Schizosaccharomyces pombe: one gene and its partners. Changing the gene in region 2 together with the main gene of any one other region gives a genetic interaction. Each region holds a gene or a part of one and is shown on either strand. Other genes may lie near its edges. The genes, in order: knk1, klp3, SPOM_SPBC1348.07 and pfl9.

Region 1 (7,344 bases), on a different chromosome or scaffold from region 2:
CAAAAGAGGAGGAGCCATTTTTTTGTACAGAAAGTCTGTAAAGTCACTGGAAAAGAGAGGGATATGTACCATTATGACTTTCACAGCGGACAAAACGACACCACTATTTGCATGTTGGAATTGAGGAACCACCCTTTCACAAACATATTCAGCTTCCTTGATATCAGAAGTGCGAAATCTAGCTAAAGAATTCAAAATAGTAATCCGACCCCACTCATTACACTCACTCAAAGCAACCATTAGCCTGTCTGTCATCGTGTAAACTACATTAAAATATCCCTTTTCAGGGTCCTGATCATGAATTTCAGCAAGTGAGCGGACTGCATTAGCCACAACCACAGGATTCGGATCAGATACCAACGCCTGCAATTGTTCGATGAAACCATTTGATGCACAGTATTCTCGATCAAGGTCATACATCTTTACAACACAAACCGCTGCAGCCTTACGAACATAGGGATGCTCATCCTTCAAAGCTTTTCGCAACGGATCTGCCAAATAGCCAATGATTTTATTTACCCGAATGCAACCCATAGTTCTAATTGCCAGAGCTCGTAAAGTAGGATTATATTCCTCAGAATCCTTTACAAAAGTATTAACGGCTAAAATACAAAGATCAGGGTGTGTTTTGGCATAGTTAATTAGATATAAATAAACCAGTTTTTTCAAGGTGATATCGCGAGTAGCTAGGTTCTTTAAAACATCGGGAAACAGACTAGACACATCCTTGCCAACAGTCATTGCGGCAATAGTCCGTTTCACAGCATCAATTCTCTCGTAGGCATACTGAGAAACTAGTCCCTTTTGTAATTCACTTGTTTCGCTTTTTTTAAATGCCTTAAAACGGCTCGATTGAAACAACTTTGGAACCATTCGGTACTATTGTATAATTCCGCTCTTTATGTAGCTCTTTTAAAGGTGGTAAACGTCCTAAGGTCAAAAACACGTTTACATATATAAAGCAGTGGTTCAATAATCATGTCAAGTCAAACCCATTCGGTGAGAAACACCCACTCCCAGAAGTAACAAAGGTGACAATATCGAATACTGAAATCCAATTTCTATATATTCATGATTTCATTTTCAACCTGCAATGCTTTAAACGCTACTATTATGACCTTTAAATAAATTTTAAAACATTTAATTCAGTATACAAACAAGAGGTTGAAATGTTATTTCAATAAAAGCTATAAGTTAATTGCCGTAAAAATGCGATTCAAGTAAAGCAATACCCTTTTCCAAACATTAAATAACTAATAATTATTGTTCAAAATTGGAGAATAGTGAAGGGAAAAAAAGTAGCCCAATAGGTTGAGGCTGTATGTAAACGAAATAAATATGACGATAAATGGAAAAAATAAAATAAAGAGAATTGATGGAAAATACAAAAGGGGAGCATTTGTAAAAGGCGCTGTCAAGTCGGCTATGATTTAAAATGTCGTTTATAGCGATAGTCAAATCACGAATACATTTTAGTTGTTGTAGGAAAGACGAAAATAAAATGAAGGTAAACAGAAATTAAAATTCGTAATAAGCCAAGTTTATGCAAAAGAAAGTTATTGAAACCACATGAAAATCAGCATCCACGATTCAATCCCTAAATGCACGGTAATTCTCATAATATCCAGAAAAACGATACCCAAATGATTCGTTAAGAAACATTAAAGGATAAAATTAAAAAGAGAGAAAGGAAGTTTGAATAAATTAAAGGATACCCTGCCTTTTTGATGCAAAAGAATATATGATTTCTTGAAAATATTAAAGGTAGAATACTCTACAAAGTTGTTTTAACGTTGCGAACCAAATTGTTTATTCCACTCTTCGTAACGATGAATACCCTCTTGTGAGACACTTGGACGAATAGTACGAAGGCTAGCTTTAAAATGATTCAAGCTGATCGGAGGTATCATCTCTGCACTGGTGGTAAGTAGAGCATCACCCAAGTTTCTTAAAGGACCCATTGCTGCGTCTTTGGCTAAAGCAGTGATATCAGAGCCTGAATAACCTAGATGGCGTTAGTTAACTAACCAATCGAATTATTTATATACATACCTTCGGTAAGATTGACAAGTTCTTCCAGATCCTCCTCCGTCAAACAGTGTACTTGATTATGAAGCAAATGAGAAAGATGTTTATATCTTGTTTCTTTTTCAGGTAACGGAATATAGGTTCTTTTAACGAATCGGCGTCGAGCAGCCTCATCAATACACCACGGAAGATTTGTAGCTGCCAGCACCAAAACACGGGGAGAGTGACCAGTTTGCTTGTCCGGAGCCGCATTAGTTAACGAAGACCATTGAATTAAAAATTCTGTTTTTAATCTACGAGAGCTCTCGTGCTCATTACCGCTGTCATTACGAGCGGAAAGAATGGAATCAATTTCATCAACAAAGATAACGCTACATGTCTGGCGCTTCGCAACTTCAAAAAGGGCTCGAACCAACTTTTCAGAATCACCAAGCTAAATCAAGGTTAGTTAAGAATGGGGTTAAATATAAAACTTGCTTACATATTTCGAGGTTAATGATGAAGCCGAAATCGAAAAAAATGTGGCTTTCGCTTCGGTCGCAACAGCACGAGCAAGCATGGTTTTGCCGGTGCCAGGGGGGCCAAAAAGAAGCATGCCTTGTACGGGTTCACGCAATCCTTGGAAAAGTTCCGGGCGTAAAAACGGATAAATGACTGCCTCTTTCAAGGAATTTTTAGCGTCATCTAATCCGGCAATGTCCGACCAGTAGACAGGTTCATGGTTAGAAATAATTTCATTCATAATAGCATATTCAAAATCACTTGAAGGAGTGGTCTGTTGAAGAGGTTCAGTTTGTTGAGTAGTACTAGCTGAGATAGTTTTTGACACAATTGTCTTAGAATCAGCGGTTGCCGGAGGAGATGTAGCAGGTGATCCGGCTGTGTCAGCGGAAGACGGTCGAGTGGAAGAACCAAGGGTATCATGAGAAGAGTTTAAGTATGGTTTATATGGGCTAGGATGCTTGCGCGATTTTCCATCGCTGGATGAATGCGATGCAGACGTAAGGGGGACGGCAGGAACATGGAGTGGAGGAATTGGCGCATGGAAGGAGAGGGGAGTGCTATTGTTAGCATTTTGATTGTTTGACACCTGAATAGAAGGGCTAGATACCGAATTGGAAAGCGTCGGTTTAGTCGTAGACTGACTTTTCATAGCGGTAGGAAAAGTGGTGGAATTCATGGTAGCAGAACGACCTGTATCAGAAGAAAGAGCAGAAGCAGAAGCGGCAGCACTCTTAGAAGCAGCAGCAATGGCCGAAGCAGAAGAATTGAAAGAGGCAAAGGGATCTTCGGGTTTGAGGGGTGGAGAACGGTTTGGCTTAGAGGGTGCCAGATAAGAAGGTGCATCTCCATAGGAAGAAGAAACAATGGATGAAGTGGAGGTAGAAGGAGGCGAATGCTTGGAATATATTTGCTTAGGCGTAGATAAATTTACCTCCGACTGCGCACCTCTCGTCTGTCTGTACATCATCCTAGTAGTCATGGGGGTATACGCAGGTGTTTGAGATCTTACTGGACGTAAGGGGTGAAGATCAACGGGCGCCTTCTTTGAAAGTTTGGCTGCAAGTTGATAATTTTGCCTTTCCATTTCACTTTCCAAAATCGTCTTACGCAGCTTGCTTGCCTTGCTCAAACAGTTGTCATAGAGCCCGTTCCAAGAACATGCCTCTGCGCCCGTCAAAGGTCCCAATCCCATGCGATCGCGAGCTGCCGACGACTTCTTCATCTCCTCTAAAACCTTGCAGTAACTCACATACGCACCAGCCCAATCCCTATTTCCTTCACACAATAATGCTCTTGATGCTATCGGTAGTATTCTATCCAAGTCTGAGTCCATTTTCCGCAGTCGACTCGTCAATGGCTTTTTTGCTTTTGGCAAGTTCAAATGTCAAAAGTGCTGTCTTGTCGTTAAAAATCCCATAGAATGTTCGAAGTAACGCTGTTACTTTTCAGCCACTGGTTTTCTTTCATCTCTTCAAAAGCTATTTGATAAGGAATTCGTATTGGAGAAAATCATTTTATTCATAGATTCAATAGATGAGTAAATATCTTTCTTTCACACTCTTTTTTTTTTCCCGCTAATTCGCAAATCCGGAAATTTGTTTACAACAAAAAACGTATTATTAACGATATTAATCATTTCATCGCTATGCTAGTAGTGTGGATTAGAGAGCACTTTAAAATCGAGCGCCTTCGACTGGCTGAAAAACAGAAGCCAAGCGGTTTTCGATGAGAACAAATTTGCGAAAATTTAAGTATCTTTTGATATACCTACAAATTCTAAAAAAAATTTCTCTAGTTGAACTTAACGCTCAAATAGAGCTTTTTTTAAGAATACTTGAGGCCCGGGAGATGTAAACAGATCAGCTATGTCTGAAAGGAACGGGATGGCACTTAATGTTGATAAATTTTTTATTTTTTAAATTCTTGAAGTGAATGGTGAAAAAAGTCGGGCGCCTAATCGTTAAAAGCCTTCAAAAGTCAAAATGTGATAAAACAAATATGAATGTAACGTTTTGTACTACAATGACAATAATCTTAGCAGGCGAATCGTTTTGTAGACTAGAAAAGTACGTAATTTATTTTTATTAAATGATCCTACAAATACTAAAACTTGTAAAAATGCTTTTAAGCAATTTCTGATCAATTAAAATTTCACGCATGTCAAACCATTTAGAAATGTTTATGTTGTTAAAGCAGTGTTACAAAGCTATTAAAATACCTAAAAAATATCAACAATGTATTCGTAAATTCCTAGAACCAATAATTGTTCAAGTAAGATGAGAAACTCTTGGAAGATCAACACATATAGAGGATTCCCTGAAGCTGTTATATTAACTTCGCCAAAAAAAAATTAGTTGTAGTATAAGATTCATTTACTTATCTAAATATTCTGCTTTTGAGTATTCAACCAAGTAGCACTTCTCCCATCGAATATTGAAGCAATTTGGAAGTATAAATTGTTTTGATTATTGTGTCGTATAAAAAATGATACACGGGAGAGATGCATATGCAAATAGATCTGTGAATTTTATTGTTAACTGATTTGATGTATAAGCTGTTGTAAGTTTTGATAATGAATTTGGCCTCTGAGGAAGATGCTCAATATCCTGCTTGACTCAACAGAATTCTTCAGAAAAAATACTTAAGATCAGAATGGTATGAAGAAAAAACGATAATTAAAAAATGTTTTGTTTGTTTACAAACTATTTAATGATTCTTCCGTTCTTTGAAATAAACTTATCTGATCAAAGCGACGTCATATCTAAGCGAAATCACGGTAAATACCATGATATACAAACCATCCCAACTCTAACTTCATCATTTAGTTACTTTTGAAAATAAGAAATGAAATGATTCAGTATGTATATTTAAAACATATGAGGAAATTATGGAGTCTTGGAAAAGTCCGTTCGACTGTTCTTCGGTTTTCTACTACGAACCGCAATGCTTCACATTTAATTAAAAACGAGTTGGAACAAATCTCACCAGGGATTCGTCAAATGCTGAATTCAAATTCAGAATTTCTTGAAGAGTGTTCTAAATATTATACCATTGCTCAAGGAAAACAAATGCGTCCTTCTCTTGTTTTGCTGATGTCCAAAGCTACAAGCTTGTGCCATGGTATTGATCGGTCCGTAGTGGGCGACAAATATATTGATGATGATGATTTAAGATCATTTTCGACGGGTCAAATTCTTCCTTCTCAATTGAGATTAGCACAAATAACCGAGATGATCCATATAGCAAGTTTGCTGCATGACGATGTGATTGATCACGCTAATGTCCGTAGAGGCTCACCTTCAAGCAATGTTGCTTTCGGTAATCGACGGTCAATCCTTGCGGGTAATTTCATCCTTGCACGGGCTTCGACTGCTATGGCCCGCCTTCGAAATCCCCAAGTTACGGAGTTGTTAGCTACAGTGATAGCAGACTTGGTTCGAGGTGAGTTTTTGCAGCTAAAAAATACTATGGATCCTTCATCTTTGGAAATAAAACAATCAAATTTTGACTATTATATTGAAAAAAGTTTTTTGAAAACAGCCAGTTTAATTTCCAAAAGCTGCAAGGCTTCTACAATCCTCGGACAATGTTCTCCTACTGTAGCAACAGCTGCTGGAGAATACGGTCGATGCATTGGTACTGCTTTTCAACTAATGGATGACGTGTTGGACTATACGTCGAAAGATGATACTTTAGGAAAGGCGGCTGGTGCAGATTTGAAGCTAGGGTTGGCTACAGCTCCCGTCCTCTTTGCATGGAAAAAGTATCCAGAACTTGGTGCAATGATTGTGAATAGATTCAATCATCCTTCTGATATCCAACGGGTAAGAGAAGCTGAAGTTTTATTTATTTATTTGATTTCCTTTTCTCTATCGTTAATTTTCAATTGCTAACATATAATTTAGGCTCGTTCTTTGGTTGAGTGCACTGATGCTATCGAGCAAACCATCACTTGGGCAAAAGAATATATCAAAAAAGCCAAAGATTCCCTTCTGTGTCTCCCTGATTCACCTGCAAGGAAGGCACTTTTTGCGTTGGCTGATAAAGTAATAACGAGAAAGAAGTGACGAGTTTAGTACGCTGCATCTTTAACTATTAGATAAAGGCCTCTTTTTCTTATTCTCGAAAAATTTAAAACAATTAGGTTTAATTATATATACGACTTTGGTAGACCGAGTTGAATTACCGCTCTTAATAGAGCAGTGAAAATATTACTAATATGCGCTGCCTTGATTGGTTTTTCTTCCATAAATGATTTCAGGTTATTACAAAGTGAACGACAACTGCCAACGAATGCAATGATTTTATAACGACATTGCAAGCCACTAATGATACTGTCTATAAAAATTGGACTTCAATAAATAAACCAAGCACTTCGTAATAACTATTCTTGACTAGTGTTATAGTCTTTGTGATCTCGCTGCTCAAATGTCAGATGCTGATTTTGGCTCCAATTTTCTGTTTACGTTATAACAACTATCATGTAAGTTTGTCCATTACTTATATCTGGTGAAAAAGGCTGCATAACTATGGTAATACTTTTTGTCAGATCTAAAATTAGGAATCAGATTTTATCCGGTAGCTTGCTGTGCTTTCCCTGGACTGCAAAATTATTTTCACCTGTATTCTTTTACTATACCTTTTTGATAGCCTATAAACGTTGAGCGTTGAGCTTTTAAACTTACCAAAACTACAGGGCCTTCCTTCTTTCCCCAATGCTCGAATGAACTTTCGTTAGTATCAACGTTTCCTTTTGTTTAGTACCCCTATAACAATATATATAACGACCTTCTTTTTGAATAAACCATAGCA
Region 2 (6,817 bases):
ACTGCTGAGCGAAAAAGTCAATAATGTTTTTCCAGAAATTCATCAAACCGGTTTTAAAGACCAATAAGCAAGCCATTTCATACACATTTCCAATGGTACGGTTACGCTTCTCCTGTAACTGCTTAAATAAGTTAGCGGATGAATCTGTTTCAAATGGTTGCTCATCAGTTAGTGAGTGCGAAGCAGAAGTATTATCGTTGTTCAAAGCATTTCCACAAGAAGAAACGGATGGAGCAGGTGAATGGCATAATGAATTTAGTGATTCCCTAGATTTTTGAGGAGAATAGCAATCTGAACTCATTGAGGAGGTTTTAAATAACTCATTGGGACGTTTGGATGTCATCAATCGATTTGGATTTACTCGGGGAAAATTAATAAGTCGCTCATCCTCTAGTGAAGGAGAAGATACATTATTGAAAGAAAATGAATTTCGATGCTGCCTATTTAAACTGGTGGGAGATTCAAGTATCGGAGAATGAACAGAGCCAACAGAAGAGTTTTGAGAATTAGTAAACGATCCTACAATTTTTGATGATTTTTGCAGCTGGTGGTCCATGGCCTTATTCAAACGTTAGTAATTTAAATTAATTAAGTAACAAGAGATATCACATTTTATTTCATATTTAAAAAAGGAGAATCCAAGTATTGAAATCACTTACCTCTTTCAACTTTTCCAAGTGAGAATTAGAACCAACGTTATTGTTGATTTGATCGTCAGGTGGCCTCATTTTTTTAGACTAAATTTACAGGCCAGTATAGATACTAAATAAAACAAAGTTTCCAACTGTAATTACCAAAAAGAAAGTGCTATCTTATAAAGATCGTTTCAAATAAAAAACTGATGTATTTGAGTTATTTGACCACGGCAACCAGCAATGGAAATTATAAGCGTACCATTTAAAACGCTTTTTTCCTAGCGACTTTACAGCACTGAAGATTGGTAAAAAGTGTTCGAAATAGGGAAATGAAACAACTCAACAAGTTGTGTTAGCAAAATGTAAATGGATATTGAAGATCGCGTAAATGTTGTTTAGCGAAGATTGGTGGCTAGTAAATATGATCGTTCTGTTAGAAACAAGTCACTACACTATACTGTGCTGCGTTAGTTCAACTTTTCATAATATTCATGATTCTCCGTATTTCCATCCTTAGTGTAAATCTTCTATACTAGTAGTTTTATAACAATGCATTATGTTGATACATTCAAACCTTCTTTCCTGACTTCAGTTATAAGCCATATATGTGTGGTTATGTTAGTGTATTCAATATCATAATTATATTGATACAACATTTTACCATCTACGATAAACATCCTACATAAGATTATATACATCGCAAGTAACACTTAAACTACAGTTCGTTGTAGCTTAAAAAAGGTAATGATTGCTTAGCCAATAGTCAATCCTTGCTAAAGAATAGTAGTCTCAGATTACTAAATTCGCTGATTATATTATAACGGTAAATTTTTATTGAATTGTTATTACATCATCATTTGAGATGTTACACATTTGCTGAATAAGCATATAAACAATGCATTGCTGCGTAGCTGTTTTCTTTTATATTATAATGCTGCAGCAATATAAAAGAAGCTGCATAAATAATTAGTCAGAAAATTAGTTTATTCAGAAAGCAGCTAGACGAGATGCAATATTTCATGATTAAATGTGAGCTCAACAACTCTAAAGAAATTAATTAAACATATATAATCCTTCGCAAAGCAGAGTAAAAAAGTGTAGCTTTTAAGTGCCCCCTTGAATTTTCTTAATTACTGTTCCATTTTGAGGTCGCTCTTTGGAAATTAAAGCTTTAATCAATTTTCGTTGAACATTTACTAGAGCAGCCAGTGAGGAATCCAAAGTACTCAGTTTTTGTAAAAAATTGTTTCTCTCGTTATTTATCGAAAAATTTTTATCTTTCTGTTCTATTGTAAAACCCGGTTTGTCATTTAATGAGTTGTTTGCAGTAAGATTTGAATTTACTCTGTGGTTTTTAACAAGCTCAACATACCGCTCCTGAGCATCGCCCAATGCAGTCATAAGGTCTGACAATTGCTGTTTAGTGGATGATAAAACACCATCTCGTTGTTTAAGTTCAAGTTGTGCTTCAGCATACAAACGATTGATAGAATCAGAATCAAAGTTATGTCTGTGTATCGAAGCAACTGTGCTTTCGTCTCTGTCATTATTACTTTCCTGAATTGTTCTATTTCCTTGAATGATTTCTGCTTCCTTTAAGTTGGATTTTTCGGCGAGATTTGACAGTGTGAGGGAATGCTCGCCTGACCATACGTTAGAATGACAATTATTATAGTCTAAGTTATTGTTAATTCTGGCTCCACAAACGCAACGAGACAAAGCATCTTTATAAATATACAGCTGTCTTTTCATTTCATCAACAGAAAGTTCTGAGTTTACTACCGCTTTGTTTTTGATGCTCTTTGCACGATGTCCAAACCTAAGAGTAGATAAGGTCTCTGTTGCATTGTATGAATCTGGTGAACAGTTAATAATTAGAGTGGTCCGAGAATTTCCACCAAGAGACTCTTTTAAAATACGCGTTAACTTGGAATCTCTATAAGGAACATGTGATAATTTGCTGTCTGTGAGAGAATTAATAACCATTCCAAGAGTTGAAAGAGAACGGTTTATTTTCTTTGCTTCTTCTAAGGTTTGCCCGACTGCTCCACTTTTTCCTACGCTTTCGGAACCTGCCAAGTCAACTAAAAACAACCGGCCTCGTCGAGTTTCGCCGGACTCAGTGTCCGTTTGGACAACTTCGAGTACAAAAATAGAATGAGACCGTGAACTTTGCGCATTCATCGACGTACTTGCAACGGCACGTGACCCCATACCTTTATTTAAAATATCCAATGCCTCCGTTTCACTTGATACGTAAATCGTTTTTAAACCTTGAACATAAACTCCCTGAAGTTTATCTTCATGAACCGTCAGTCTGTCATTTTTTTCTGTAAATCATGGTTAATTTTGCTGAAATTAAATACGAACGTCGCAAAATTTCTACGGCATTTGAAGGCTTACCGGAAAGTAGATCATGAATTTTTTCCATGTAGATTTCCATGTATGATACCTTCACTTCGTATTCAGTAGTAGATGGTGAATCGCGGATTTTGTCAAAAATACGCCTGAGCATTCTTGGAGTCATTCCTTCTTTTTCGAAATTATTTTCAATACCCTAAAGATTGTTAGAAAAGTGTGCCAGGTGAAATTGTGAATATACCATCATGGTGTATGTTTTGCCGGATCCTGTCTGTCCATAGGCTAGTACTGTTCCGTTATAACCCAAGAATAAGTCTATAATATATTAGTACATATTTAATGAAATTCAGAACAACTTGAATGTGATTCGAACAATGTATTAAAATGGCAATTCGTTTCAAATGAAGCGTCAAAACGAGCGCATATAAAAAAAGGCTATGCTATAATTTCATACAAGCTGTTGCTGACAACGATGAAATTAATCCGTTCAACGCCGTGTAAAGTTTTACTATCATTCACATACCATCGACTGTCGATTCAATTGAATACGAAAATATATCATTCTGAGTGCTAGAAGGATGAAAAACACGATCGAATACAAAGTTTCCTGAGTAATCACTAGTCTTTTAATCATGTCAGCCGAATTCTAAAGTAAAGATCAATTGTTGAAACCTACCTCGATATGAACAGTAGAATCGTTTAATGGGTATATCACATTATTTCCTCCAAGGTCTTGTTCCAACTGGTTCGTGGGCCGAATTCGGCACACTACTTTAATTGAAGTCATTGAGTAAAACTGCTTTATAAAAAGATAAAAAATCAAATAATGTATGATTAAAACGCAGTATATAAATTAGATCCATACATCCAAAAAAATCATTAAAGACAATATGTGAGCGGGCTAATTTCATATACAGGGAAAGACGAGGTTAACCTAACATGGTGCCTCTACAATAATTGTTGTTTAAGGCAACGTATCAAAAACAGAATAATATCATGTAATTAACTACATAATTGTTTAATGTTAAAGCTCGAAGTGTGAATTAAAAAAAATAAATTTACAAATCAACAGGCTAAAATTGTTTACTTCCTTCTACATATTCTTTTTTTCCTGATATTATTTGAAGATTTACACATGTATAAAATTCTTAAGATTGTTCAATCTTGATTCATATTTTAAGCAGAGTATTTTACCCTTCGTCTGATTAATATCTGTGACGAAAATTGGATTGCAATTTCTCACATATTTATTTATGAAAATTTGATTAAATGGTAAGAACGAGAAACCTCGCAGGTATTTATTTATTTTTTTTTTTAAATTAAATAATTTTTTTAAATTGTGAAGTTTATATGGAGATTTGGATGTATTTGCAATTTACAAGTTTATCCCAGATACTATTTCAAACATTAGCATTAAAAAACGTTTGTTTTACTACTTTGTATTTCTACTAGCTATACCAACCTACCAATTCATTTACCGAAGAGAAAAAGGTATGGAAAATGCATAATTCATAAATAGATCTACTTAGTACACTTGCTATCATCTAAATGCACCTGCGTTTCAATACTTGATTACTTATGTATAATCGAGATGTAACAACCCCCACATTGGTATCACTTCAGGTATAAGTAAAGGTAATTTGAATACTCAAGAAGTGTACCTTAATAGTATTCAACTGAATATGAAAATAGACCCCCACTGTGGACCATCGCCTGGCACCCACTTTACTTACCCTGTCATATGCCATAAGTTTTTAGAGAAACCGAATTCCATAATTCCGCATGTCGTTTCTGTTCAATAAACGACCAAAATCAACCCAAGATGTTGTTCGCTGCTTATGTGATAATCTCCCAAAGTTGGAAATAAACAATGATAAAAAGAAGGTATTAATTATTAGTAATTGTTGTTTTTGTTCGTTTAGATGACTAACGTAAACAGTCCTTTGAGGAAGTTTCCAAATGTTTACAGAATTTACGGGTTTCATTGTGTGGGACAGCTGAAGTAGAGCCTGATGCTGATCTCGTATCAGACTTATCTTTTCAAATTTACCAGTCGAATTTACCTTTTTTACTCGTTCGATATTTACCGAAATTGGAGTTTGAGTCTAAAAAGGATACAGGACTAATATTTAGCGCTTTACTTAGGAGGCATGTAGCATCGAGATATCCCACTGTTGACTACATGCTTGCGCACCCGCAAATCTTTCCAGTATTGGTCTCATACTATCGATACCAGGAAGTAGCTTTTACTGCTGGTTCTATCCTTCGTGAGTGTTCCCGTCATGAAGCCCTTAATGAGGTACTTTTAAACTCACGAGATTTTTGGACATTTTTTAGTTTGATACAAGCCTCTAGTTTTGATATGGCGAGTGATGCGTTTTCGACTTTTAAGGTACGTATTATCCCCAAATAAAACTTCTGTCGTTGCAATGTTTTTATATACTCCCGCTAGTTTTGCATTTACTAACTTTAATCAGTCTATTCTTCTTAATCATAAATCCCAAGTTGCTGAGTTTATTTCATACCATTTTGACGAGTTTTTTAAGCAATACACTGTCCTTTTGAAATCTGAAAATTATGTTACCAAACGTCAATCTTTAAAGCTTTTAGGGGAAATTCTTCTTAATCGTGCTAACCGTTCAGTCATGACACGCTATATTAGTTCTGCTGAGAATCTGAAACTAATGATGATTCTGCTGAGAGATAAGAGTAAAAACATTCAATTTGAAGCTTTTCATGTTTTTAAATTGTTTGTTGCTAATCCTGAAAAGTCGGAAGAAGTAATCGAAATATTAAGGAGGAACAAATCAAAGTTGATTTCTTACTTGTCAGCTTTTCATACTGACCGGAAAAATGATGAGCAGTTTAATGATGAACGCGCATTTGTAATAAAACAGATTGAACGCTTATGACTCTTGTTACTCACCAATGTGCTCATGTCTTTCAAAATCATGCTGTTGTCCATCCTATATTTACAAAGGAAAAAAAATTGTAGATTAGATTTATTAAATGATATATGCGAGTTGAAATATTTGATGCATGAGATACGGATGCTTTAGATATTAGCATTAGGTTAATTGCTAACCGATTCCATGAATAAAAGAACTTTATTATTTCATGTACTAAGACTTCCTAAGATTGTCTGACATCGCCAAGTCAACCGTTTAGATAGATTATTTGACACTAATTATTAATTAAATATCTGACAAATTGGAAAATCAAATGTAAAATAACTTCGCATTTTTTCTATGTAATTGAGTTTCCACAGCCTTTTCTTTCTTCTTAGAGAATTTAAAGCTTTGGACATATGCTTGCAAAGACTTTTACAATTTTTAGTAATAACAACCTAAGAAAGGCTTACATACACTCTCTTAAAAATTTTAAGCTTGTTGTTTAGAGGCACGACGCAAATTTGAAAAATCAATCTTGACCGGCTTTTTCACCAATATCTCATATCGGCCCCATTTAGGCTCAATAAAGGGGACAGCAAAAGCTCTGCCCATAAAAGGAGTTTGTTTCGTGTCAATGAAAGGGTACACCATGACTGGAATCCAACCGTCAGACTTTGAATATATCGGTTCGTTGACTGTGGCCTTCGAATGATCAAACTCTAAATCTATTAAAAAATCGCAAGACTCAAGAGAAGTATAACGAGTTGGCTCTTCATTATTGAATTCATTCATGTGTTCAGGGATCTGATAGTAGCCTTCACGGTTCCACCATGTTGAATTAGATTCAACGAATTCACCGGGTAAAATACCGTCAAACTCACTCTTTACAAATTTTAGGCGTGAATTATCTGGTAAAAAGAAAGTAGAAGG
Region 3 (5,172 bases), on a different chromosome or scaffold from region 2:
GGTTTGGTGATAAAGCTATTTCTGGTTGGTCCAATAATAACTTTGATGCGTATTCTTATTGGCATGAGTCGCCTAATATGGGTTTAGGAACTGTGGGCATGGGAAATTTCACTGTAGGCAATTATCCTGAAGGCTACTTTTTGCCCGTTAGATTTGTTGTAGCAAATGGAGCATATATCGGTGGATTTGATTTTTACTTTACTTCTGATTCAACGGGTCCACTTGCTACTACCTCTTATTCTTACACGAAAACATGCACTCAACAATTCTTACCATTTGGTCAAGGTAATGGCGGTGTAAACGGGCCAACGGAAAAATTGTCGTAAAATTGTTTGAAAATTTCAGAAAATAATTAAATCGGTACTTGAGCTACGAATCGGATTTCTAATATGTCAAAGGTCAAGAATGCATTCAGATTTAAGGTGTGTGGGACCGTAAGTTATTTGCTGAGATGATACAAATGATCTGCAATATATATACATTTTCTTAATATAGGGTTGGCTAGTATTTAATTTTTTAATTTTTTAATTTTTGTTATTTTAACGCAACACATATCATGGGTTACTGAAAATAATTTTATTTCTGTAAACTAGCAACCGTTTATATATATATATATATATATGTTCGTTCAATAAATAGCGAGGTATAGTGGGCATCTTTGCGCTTCGAAAATCAAATGAACCCACCCGTTTTTTCAGTAGCATTTAGCGAGCATCATCTTCCTCTTGCTCTACCTTAAAAATTCTACTGTACTGCAAGTAGTATTACGCAAAGGAATACACATTCCAGGGGTTGTACAAAAAGCATCATATGTTATAGATTTCTACTTCCAGGTGCAAAAATGCCTCACTTATTTTTTATTTTTTTGTGGAATACAATGTTATAAATTGACTTAACGTGAACCTTATACAGCCGAAACTACTCATTTTGTTAAACACATCAACAATATTTCTAATCACCTTCTACAAAATGAAACTTACTGATATCCTTTTCTATTGCCTCACTAAACGCTTTGGCTAATTGGGATAATTCATTATCTCCGGATACTTGGACACTTTATGACCGTGCTCCAGTATTAGGTGACTTCACCTTGAATGTATCTGCAATAGGACCGAATAATACTATAGTCGATAGTATATACCTGCCAACCGAATTGAATGTGACACAATGGATGCAAGAACATGCAGCTGAACATTACACCTAGTCAACTAGTAGTAATACCTCAAATGCGATCTCGTGGTGGGTATATCGTTTGATTTGGGAATAAAGTGGATGAAATGGAGTTTTGTGATATTTGAAAGTCAACTTGAACTCGATTTATTGTTTTTGATTTCCCGTTTAGTATAATAATAAGTTTACATGTAGGAAGCTTTGCATGTATTTTATTGATTTCAACCGCATAAAATTATTGGGAAAATGGCGAGGTAAATTGAATAGCATTTATTCAACAACTATTAAAAATATGTTTTTGAAAGTCAAAAGTTTTTCTTATAGTTTAGTAAAAGATGAATTAGTAGCTAATATGTTAGATGTTTAAGTTTCAATTAATATTTTATTACTATTTTATTTCAAAAACAAAACTAAAAAAGATTTTAAATCGTTATTCTTAAATCCTTTGTTCACTTATTACGCTCAAAGGGCAGTTATTGAATATGGCGAGCTAAAAATACCTTTTAGTTATCGTTTACGATTAAGGTCAAGAGGTAGTACATTAAAATTTCGTCTGCAACGAGCCGGTCCAAAAAGGAAAATTATTTTTTTGTAGCAGCAGTATATTGTTGAAAAGCTAAGTCTAATGTGTATGTCAATACGTAAACAGAGTTTTTGAAAGACTCTGAATAACTCGATTTTTTGCTGCCAGAATATAATTTGCAATTTAAGAATTTATTGAGCTAATGAATCAATCGATCTAACAATTTCCATATGCTGCATTTTTCAAGTTTTCAGACATAACTTTAAAAACGAGTCATTCATGATGTATCATTAAGAATTCATTTTGTGACGCAGTAAATGACATTCATAGTATTTGATTAAACTTGAAACGAAAGATAAAACATTAGTAACATCAAGTGATAATACTTCATTAAAAACCGTAATTAGGTTGACTCCATAATTGAAATTCATAACAGACGCACCTTTAGTGCATGATTAGGACGGTACAGTCAGTAAAATATTGGTAAGGATGATTATATTCTTTTCGATCATAAAACGATAAAGAAAATTATTTTTTCACAGGAGTGGGCATATTTTGAAATTCTATTTGTTCAATGTCAGAACCAACTGTTGCCTTTGAATGTGATCCTGTTTCTCCATTATGTGTAGGAAGAGTGTCTCCCAATGGCTTAACTTTTATGCCGAAAGCCAAAATTAAAATTTTGTAGATCAGCCAATGGCAGATGTATAAAATTTTAACCATAGCCACCGCGATAATTACTACGACCGCTGCTATAACTATACTGATCAATGGTATAGCTTTTACAACAATCTTGGAGCAGTCTATTTTAAATTATTAGTAAAAAAAAGGCATCACTGTAAAGGAAACATACAAATTAAACCAAGCAACAATAAAATAAACAAACAAATGTAAATAGCAATAGGCCCCCAAATTTCACTGTAAAACCGATTTTCATTTATAAAACTTTCATTTATCCAAATTGAAAGAAAATCTTTGACTTCAAAGTTCTTGTCTATTGCGAAAACAATCAAAATACACCAAATAATAAGCAAGGGCCAACGAAGTTTACTGCGGGTAGAAATCCTACCATCAGGATAACAACTATCATGAAATTTAGAAAATTCAGTAAAAAGGTTATTTAAAAAGAACTTTATTTTATCTGTCTTAATGTTTATTTTATCTTTTTGAGGCTTGACGATGTTGGTAAAGAGATTTTGTTTGTTTACCTTTTCAGGCTTACACAATTCAAGTCCCCGCTCCAGGTCCACATTACGAGTATCTCTTACCATAAATAACTCATTGTAACCAGGGGGGGTCAACCTGTTTTTTTGCGCTTTCTGGATTTGACATTGGAATAAAACCACAGCACTGCAATTTGATAGCTTTAGCACCACTAGTAATGTTTTACAATGTAAAATTAAACAGTGTGGTTTATGGAAGATAATAAGAAAATATAATAAAACATTTTAAAGCCATAAACGAAAGAATTAAAAAAAGATCAAAATTGGTGAATGTTTTACGTTCTGAGATGTTTCATTTATTTGGGAAAAACATTATGATGTGAATATCTTGTAATACTTACAAACTTTTTTTATCGCAATTCCTATATAACGAAGTTGGTTTAGTTTGCATTAATATACGGTTCCCTTCAAAGTCTGTAAATAGTGTTAAGGATACCATAAATTGCAATGAAAATCATGTTCTTATGATTTGTGTGTAAATAATTATGTTGGATTGTTCATCATCACGGTTGCAAGTATACAGGATTATTAACGACACATTGATAATGATAATAATGTATGGTAGTACAATCAAACTCGATCTATAGTATGCTGATTTTATAAAATAATAGTTGAAAACATCGTACGCATACAATAGCTATAAACATGAACAACCTAACTACGTAGCAGCATTATAAAGCATATAGTTAAGTATAGTTGACACGAAAAATCATGTTTAAGGTGTGAGTATTTGCGAAAGTAAATAAAAAGAAATGGAAGACTATAGATTTGTTTGTGTTAAAATTGTAAAAATAAAAATAAAAATAAAAAAAAATCTCGTTGAAAAATTTATATTCGTATGTAATTACAACATCGTTCGCTACCTAAATTTTATTCTCTTGCGAAAAAGTAAAGAATAGGAATCAACGACTAAGTCTATACATCGGACTAACTCTTTTAGATCAATTGTACTGAAAACTTTGGTTCCGCTTAGCCAGTTCATATTTTCTTTAAATTATGGCTCTGGGATTTGGGAACAAAAGAAAACTGAAAATGAAAGGGAAAAAAGCATGAAGCAATGTTACAAATAAATGTATAAGAAGGAATTCCTGTATTAGAAATTATATTACATTTTCATATAGAAATGATGATTTATGGTCTATTGATGTTTTCATCGTTAGTGCTTCCCATGATAAAAACAAATAAATTGCCATATGTTGAATCCTTCAGATTTTGAGTAAGGCTGAAGATGAAATGTCGCAATAATTCATAACTGTAATACTACATAAAGACTTTGATTATTGAGTTTAACTTTCATACATTTATTGCATTTTTAGCAAATGCAGTAGAACGGGCTTTCAAGAGATACAGAGGAAGAAAAGCGTAAGGGAATTATAAACTGGAATTTGTAAACATCTCTTGGAAATTATATCAATCTTGAATATTGGCTCATCATTAAAAATCATAGTGGAATACTTGGTTGTTATTCGAGTAGTTAGTCAGAAGTTATTGTTTTGATACACATAACCTTACTTGAATAATGTTACAAAAAAGAAAAATTATAATGAAAATAGATGAATCTAAAACAAATTTAATTTTTAAGCGATAAAATTGAAACAAACATTCGTCAACAAACTACTCTAAAATTTCACCTGCCACTAGTTTTACTACGAAAACGTAATATACTAGGGTTTCACAAGGTAAGTCATACATTCTAAATTTCTCCTTCCAGCATTTTGAAAATATCTTCTTTGCTCTAGACTTTGTTAAATACAGATGTAATAATATATGTTAACCACAAACTGCACCTACTTGACATGTGAATGGATGATATCTAAGAGGTGAAATTCAAATCTAAAGTAATGTTATGCAACATCTGTTAATTGTGTGTATTTCTTCTTAAAAATAATTACACATTTAACACGAAGCCATGAAAAGCGTTAGAGGTTTCGCCTCTAACTGATTTAAAAAGGAAACCCAAATTTTTTCCCTTCTTAATTTATGTAAAAGTATTGAGAAATACCTAGTTATAAAGATGAAATTTCGAATATTTCAAATTTCATATAAAGAAAGATTTCTTTACAAGAAATGAATGAGTTTTAAGAATATATTCACAACAAAGCATTTGATAAAATTGATTTATTAAGTATGCATTGAAACATTCTAATGAGATTTTTTAAAGGAAACTGCAAAAAAATAGGGCGGTATATATGCAACTCGTTAAAGACGAGTAGTATAAGAATTGCTTCGCTTTCTTCAAAGACTAAATATGGAAAA
Region 4 (5,657 bases), 820 kb from region 2:
TTCATTCGATTAAAGAAGTGAACTATACATTGTTGAGTTCACCGACCCTAACCCTAGACAAAGGAATTGGGTAACATACATTGATTATTGTGTTTTATACCCTATCAAAATTGTTTGAGTAACTTGAAGTGTAAAATGAATAAAAGATAAATTGGTAATAACTTGCTTTAGTGTATTTCAGGCCGATTTAAGTAAGTTTTTAATAGTGTCAAACCAAGTTTGCTCACCCGAGGGTGTTCTGTGGGAATCTGCTTTGTTTTTTAATAGATTATATAGTTTGGTTTGTAAGGGTTTATGAACGCTAAACAATATACCGTTTGTACCTAGCGGGTAGGTATCACACGCCGTTCCCGTGGGTCCAGATGACAGAAGTGACGGGACTGCTAAATATAGCGGATCGTTTTTTAACGATGAACCTTTTTCTTATCCGAATTTCGAGCTAAACAGCTAGGTATTAGGATTTAGTGAAGTTTCAATCTTTGGACGTACTTTAACGGGAACACAATTGAATTATGGATTACAGTGGGATACTTAAGTTCAAGCTTTGAGAAAACGAGGAAAGGCGTTAATCCTTTGTATTGACAATAAGAAGTGATGCTCAAGAAATAAGTTTTAATGCTAAGTTGATTGAACTGGTCAATTAATATTTGATAAATTTTTTCAATCTTATTGTAATTTGATGCATTAAGGTTCGTATAAACAGCTTTTCGATAGTTTGTGAAATAAAATGCAGAAGTACTCAGTAGTCTGTTACAGAATTTATGTTTTTGGTGTTATTTGAAGACAAAACCTTAATGGATTCGTTTTATACCTGTAAATATACTATCCAATTCTATCAAACGTACTTAAAAACAAATACCGATTCATAGAATTTGTTACGATGAAATATTTCTAATAATAGTATACTAATTGCAAATAATTTACCAGGTCCAAAGTCATTGATCTGGACTATATTGACATTCCAAATATTAATAGTATGTCTTAGCGTATATAAAAATTAAGAAGACTTCAACGCTAAGTATGGATTCAGCTCTTTATTTTGTTATAAAAAAATAACTCAATGCTAAACAATAAAATAGCCGAGCAGTTTTCAATTAAGAATTGTCTAGCGAAATTTCATTAAACAACCTAAATCATATGGAGTTTTTTTCTTTTTTGATATTTGGCTCAGGCAAAGAAGAAAAGTTAAGAGTGGTATTTCTTAATAAATTAATGTCTCAAAAAAGGAATAAATTTTTTTTTTAAAATGCTAAATTTTAAACGTCCTCAGTTGCATAGATGAACTTTAAATGATAAGCGAACGAAATGCAATCGATAAATCATTGTCTCTTAGTAAAGTGTTCGGTTAAAATGACTGACATTTCGTCCGAAATAATATCAGTGTAAATATCATGGGAAAATTTCGTGTATTTCTTTATTTGGAATGCGCAGCAAAGTATCAAGAGAATAATTAGTGTTTTATATGATTTAATTTTATTGCCGGTACAATTGTATGGTTGTTCTGATAAATATACATGCTTTGTCGGTTTATCACTCTGAATAAATTTGTGATATATATTGGTTTATTTATTCAATCTATGTATCATGTAGTTGATGCTTTCATTTTTTTCATAATTTTAAAAATATCAGTTAATCATTTATTCAGCAACTGTAACGTTAAATCATTAATATATATATCTATATCGGCATGCATTAAGTTGCTACCGTTAAACATCTTAATTAAAACTAGTCTTTTATAATAACTAACTCTTTAATTTTTTGAAATTAGTTCAATTTACTGTGGAGGGCAGTCGATTGATAAAAGCTTTTCGATTCACTTGTAGCTTTAATCGGTGCTCGTTGCATCAATATTGGTTTATATAAGCCAAAGCTTTCATGGCTATTAATGAGTGATGCCGGTTTAACTACTCTAAAATGTTTTGAAAATGATAGGTATGTTTTGATTTGCTTCATCTTTTTATTTCAGTATTAACAACCTAGTAATTAAAATGTTAACAAAAAAATTTGACTACCTTTTCGAATCACATGTTTTCAGTGCTAAGTTGCCTCCAGACTGTCTGCAGTGAGTATAGGTGTTTTATAAGAAATTTGCTACATAGTATCAAATCAATAATATGAATGTAGTTTTATCAAAAAAATATTCATTAAGGCGACTGTACTGAAAGAGAAGTAGGTTAATAATAGACTCTTAAGAAAATTAACGAGAGGCGTCAATTTCTGTTGCTAGCATATATTGCGAACTCGATCGGTATGTGAATTACTACGAAAACATGCGAGCCGCGTTAACAAATGTGCATTGCCTTGTCTTAAAGTAACTAAGTTTCTCAGAAGCAGTATAAATAGTAGACTACATTAATTTCGAAGTTCCGATAATGATCTTTTTATAGAACTCAAATTTTTTAATTTGATATTGAGAATTCGAATAAAAATAACTATGGGATTAACAATAAGGGGGTTTCCGAAATTTTGGGTACTGGTTTTATATGCGCAGTTTTTGTATAAATGAACAGGCCTTCTCACACGTCTTTTCGGTTCATATTTAGCGATCAGAAGTCGTTAAAAATTTTTCTCCTATAAACAATGAATGTGGTGAAGTACATAATTTTTAGCTTTGCTCTGGCGCCTTTGTTATTAGTTAACGCGAACACATATAATTTTACACAGATACAAAAGCGAAGCGTAAACCAAGCTGTTCTTGAATCAAGTCAAGATACCAATTCAGTAGGCGGTGAAGCTTCTTCAACAGCTTGCCCTTTATTCACTACTATTTACACTAATGGTATAACACCGGGAACTACAACGATTTATCCAACATCTATCTCGACATCTGGCGTATCTAGCAACAATATCGATGAAACTTCGGTATCCTCTGAGTCTATCATCACATCCACTATTACGACTACTATAACATCTGGTTCGCAACTCTATACTACTACCATTACCGGTCAAAACACACCTGTTGATACCGTTGAAGTGGTAATCCCTACTGCTGGTACTTTCACAACTACATTGACTTCTGGATCCAGTTATCCTGTCGCAACAACTACAGTGCGAACAGCTTCTGGAACACAGTCAGGTGAAGTGGAGGTTATCACACCGTCCTGTGGATGCAGTCCTGAAAATTCATTCCATCTTAAAATAGACAATGATAAAATCAGCCCTTCCTACGTGTACATGGATCCAAACGCACCCGTGAGAACTAATGGTGCCGGTCGAGAGGGGAATATGTTTGCTTCAACTAATGGAGACAACGAGGGACTAAACCTTTTCTACTATGATTCCACTATTCAACGAGTATTAACATGTGATTGTCAAAGACCGTCTTACACTGTATACATTGAAGATCCAATTATAGGCAATGGTTTTTCAAGTGCTTGGAATCTCATTAAAAATAGCGATGGCATATTTACTCCTGTTGAATCAAGAAATAATGAGCCACTACACTTTCATGTAGATAACAATGGAAGAGTATGGATGACTTCACAAGAATATGATACAGAAGTTTCATCAACCGACGAAAGAAATTTTAGGGCCAATGATGTTACACTTCAACTGTATTAGTTGAAGCAGCAAATTTAGAATTGCACATACTCTCGTTTAATTTTTTGTATTTCAGGTCATACATATAATTTTTTTTACATTCATTTGATATAATATTTTAAAATTACAATCCATGAAATCCTTTATCAATCCCTATTGAAGATGTCAAGAAGTTGACTTCCTCGGATTTCATATTTTTCTCAAGTTCTGCTGTAAACTGAAAATAGGGATATTTAAATAGTTCTTAATTATTTTTTCCACTAGAAATTGATTGCTCTACTAATAAAATACTGTTCCAAGTTATCGGCACAATTATTACTTTCGTAAACAAAATTTGTATTTTATTTATTTTTTTTTTTTTTAAATTAATCATAACTAGTGGTATTAGGAATGCATATTTTAATCTAAGTTCAAATTAATTGCTTTCATAGTAATCATTGATATTTGTTAAATAACTAGGTTTAGGTAAACCGTACTAAAATTGAACAGGAAAGGATAAATTTTAGTAAATTTTGTAGATTATGCTTTTCGTAAAAAATAGTGGTGGCCGGTTTTAAAGATAAGTTTGGATAAACTGGTTATAATTTCCTTAAGTGAAATTTAATCACTTAAAAAAATATTAGATCTAAATAGTAACTATAGACAAGTTTTGTATAAGGAAAATGACAATTAAAGATAAGGAGCTAGACTAGTCTAGCGCTTGTTTTGAGTTTAATATTAGACCATTCAGAATTTTTTTACTCATTATTACTAAAAAAGAAAACTTAAGCAAGAATTTAAATTGTGGAAAGTCTCTTTTACTTATTAATAATTGTAAGCAATAAGGATAAGAAAATCAAAACAGTTTTTTTTAAAAATGTTTCTAAATTTAAAAAAAAATCTAAACCATATGCTGCGTTGCCTGTAAATAGTGTATCTAGGTCGGATGAGATTATTGTTTTCAACTTTATTTCTTCGTTTTGTAAGAAATGAACTATATTGTTGTAGAAATAGAATAACGTTACTAATCTCTTGAATATGGGTTAAAAAACAAAATTCACAATAATTAGAAAATTTTTTACCTTTTTATAGTTTTACCCAATTATTTACTAAAAATTATTGTAGCAACTATTTTAAATAGTAAATGGTGGATTTTCTATCAAGCAGTAGGTAAATTATTGCAGCATAATACTGAACAAAAGTTTTCATTTCATTTTCAAGTACTCACGAAATTTTTATTGAATTGAAAGAAAACTATTTTGTATATGAAAGGCGCTAAAAAATTATATCTTCATTATCACTTTTGATTCAAGAGACTAATACTAATTTGCTTATTTATTTGCGATTACTGATTCATCAAGACTATTAGTATAGAAATCGGACGCACTCTTCAATGTGGTATGTGCAATGGAACAGAGAGCTTCTGTAGTAAAAAACGCCTGATGTGAGGTAACCAAAACGTTTGGAAAATTAACAAGACGTTGAAACGTAGAATCCTTTATTACTTCGTTAGAAAGATCCTTATAAAATAAGTTTCTTTCACCTTCATATACATCTATTGCACAACCTCCGACTTGGCCGGAGTCGATGGCGTCAACCAACGCTTTCGTATCAATTAAACCTCCTCTACTAGTGTTCACAATTGTTACTCCCTTTTTCATTAAAGCTAGGGAGTCAGAATTCACAATGTGCGTTGTACTGGGCGTTAATGGGCAATGGAGGCATAAAAAGTCAGCCTTCTTTAAAACCTCATTTTGCTCAACAAATTGAACTCCATAGTTTTCTAACTTCTTATCCGGATTGATATCGTAAGCTAATACATCGCAACCAAAACCCATTTTAAAACATTTTGCAACATTACTCCCGATTTTCCCAGTACCAATCACTCCCACTGTTTTACCATGTATGTCACATCCAAGTAGTCCGACAATATTGAAGTCATCTTCACGCACCCGAACATAGGCACGATGAATTTTACGATTAAGAGACAAGAGTAAACCAACAGTGAATTCAGACACAGCAAAAGGCGAATAGGAGGGGACGTGCACAACAGTTATTTTATATTCGGACGCTGCCTTTAGATTAACGTTGTTGTACCCCCCACAACGAAGAGCGACCAACTTAACACCATTTTCTGC

What was found.
Region 1: mutations in klp3 (region 2) and knk1 together harm fitness more than expected from each alone (negative genetic interaction), as found in Schizosaccharomyces pombe (one large-scale study listed by BioGRID).
Region 3: mutations in klp3 (region 2) and SPOM_SPBC1348.07 together harm fitness less than expected from each alone (positive genetic interaction), as found in Schizosaccharomyces pombe (one large-scale study listed by BioGRID).
Region 4: mutations in klp3 (region 2) and pfl9 together harm fitness more than expected from each alone (negative genetic interaction), as found in Schizosaccharomyces pombe (one large-scale study listed by BioGRID).

What each region holds. Positions count from the first base shown.
Region 1 is NC_003423.3:678,762-686,105, forward strand, and holds knk1 (AAA family ATPase), read right to left. Parts: upstream 3,906-7,344; 5' UTR 3,866-3,905; coding exon 2,510-3,865; intron 2,478-2,509; exon of another isoform or gene 2,462-2,477; coding exon 2,053-2,461; intron 2,006-2,052; coding exon 1,788-2,005; 3' UTR 1,142-1,787; downstream 1-1,141. Other genes in the region: AP-1 adaptor complex beta subunit Apl2, read right to left, coding at 1-873; decaprenyl diphosphate synthase subunit Dps1, read left to right, coding at 5,382-6,356, 6,438-6,599.
Region 2 is NC_003424.3:4,703,881-4,710,697, reverse strand, and holds klp3 (kinesin-like protein Klp3), read right to left. Parts: upstream 3,921-6,817; 5' UTR 3,784-3,920; coding exon 3,673-3,783; exon of another isoform or gene 3,620-3,672; coding exon 3,520-3,619; exon of another isoform or gene 3,312-3,519; coding exon 3,238-3,311; exon of another isoform or gene 3,193-3,237; coding exon 3,039-3,192; exon of another isoform or gene 2,966-3,038; coding exon 1,740-2,965; 3' UTR 1,446-1,739; downstream 1-1,445. Other genes in the region: phosphorelay sensor kinase Mak1, read right to left, coding at 1-559, 660-728; mo25 family protein Pmo25, read left to right, coding at 4,779-4,880, 4,936-5,388, 5,474-5,908; mannosyltransferase complex subunit Alg9, read right to left, coding at 6,377-6,817. UniProt on the Schizosaccharomyces pombe protein: Cytoplasmic motor that could play a role in Golgi membrane recycling.
Region 3 is NC_003423.3:17,433-22,604, reverse strand, and holds SPOM_SPBC1348.07 (uncharacterized protein), read right to left. Parts: upstream 2,965-5,172; coding exon 2,547-2,964; intron 2,497-2,546; coding exon 2,222-2,496; 3' UTR 1,999-2,221; downstream 1-1,998. Other genes in the region: SPOM_SPBC1348.08C (glycoprotein), read left to right, coding at 1-326.
Region 4 is NC_003424.3:5,525,112-5,530,768, forward strand, and holds pfl9 (DIPSY family glycoprotein), read left to right. Parts: upstream 1-2,580; coding exon 2,581-3,561; 3' UTR 3,562-3,848; downstream 3,849-5,657. Other genes in the region: SPOM_SPAC186.02C (hydroxyacid dehydrogenase), read right to left, coding at 4,851-5,657. UniProt on the Schizosaccharomyces pombe protein: May be involved in agglutination during conjugation or other aspects of colony formation. Induces flocculation when overexpressed.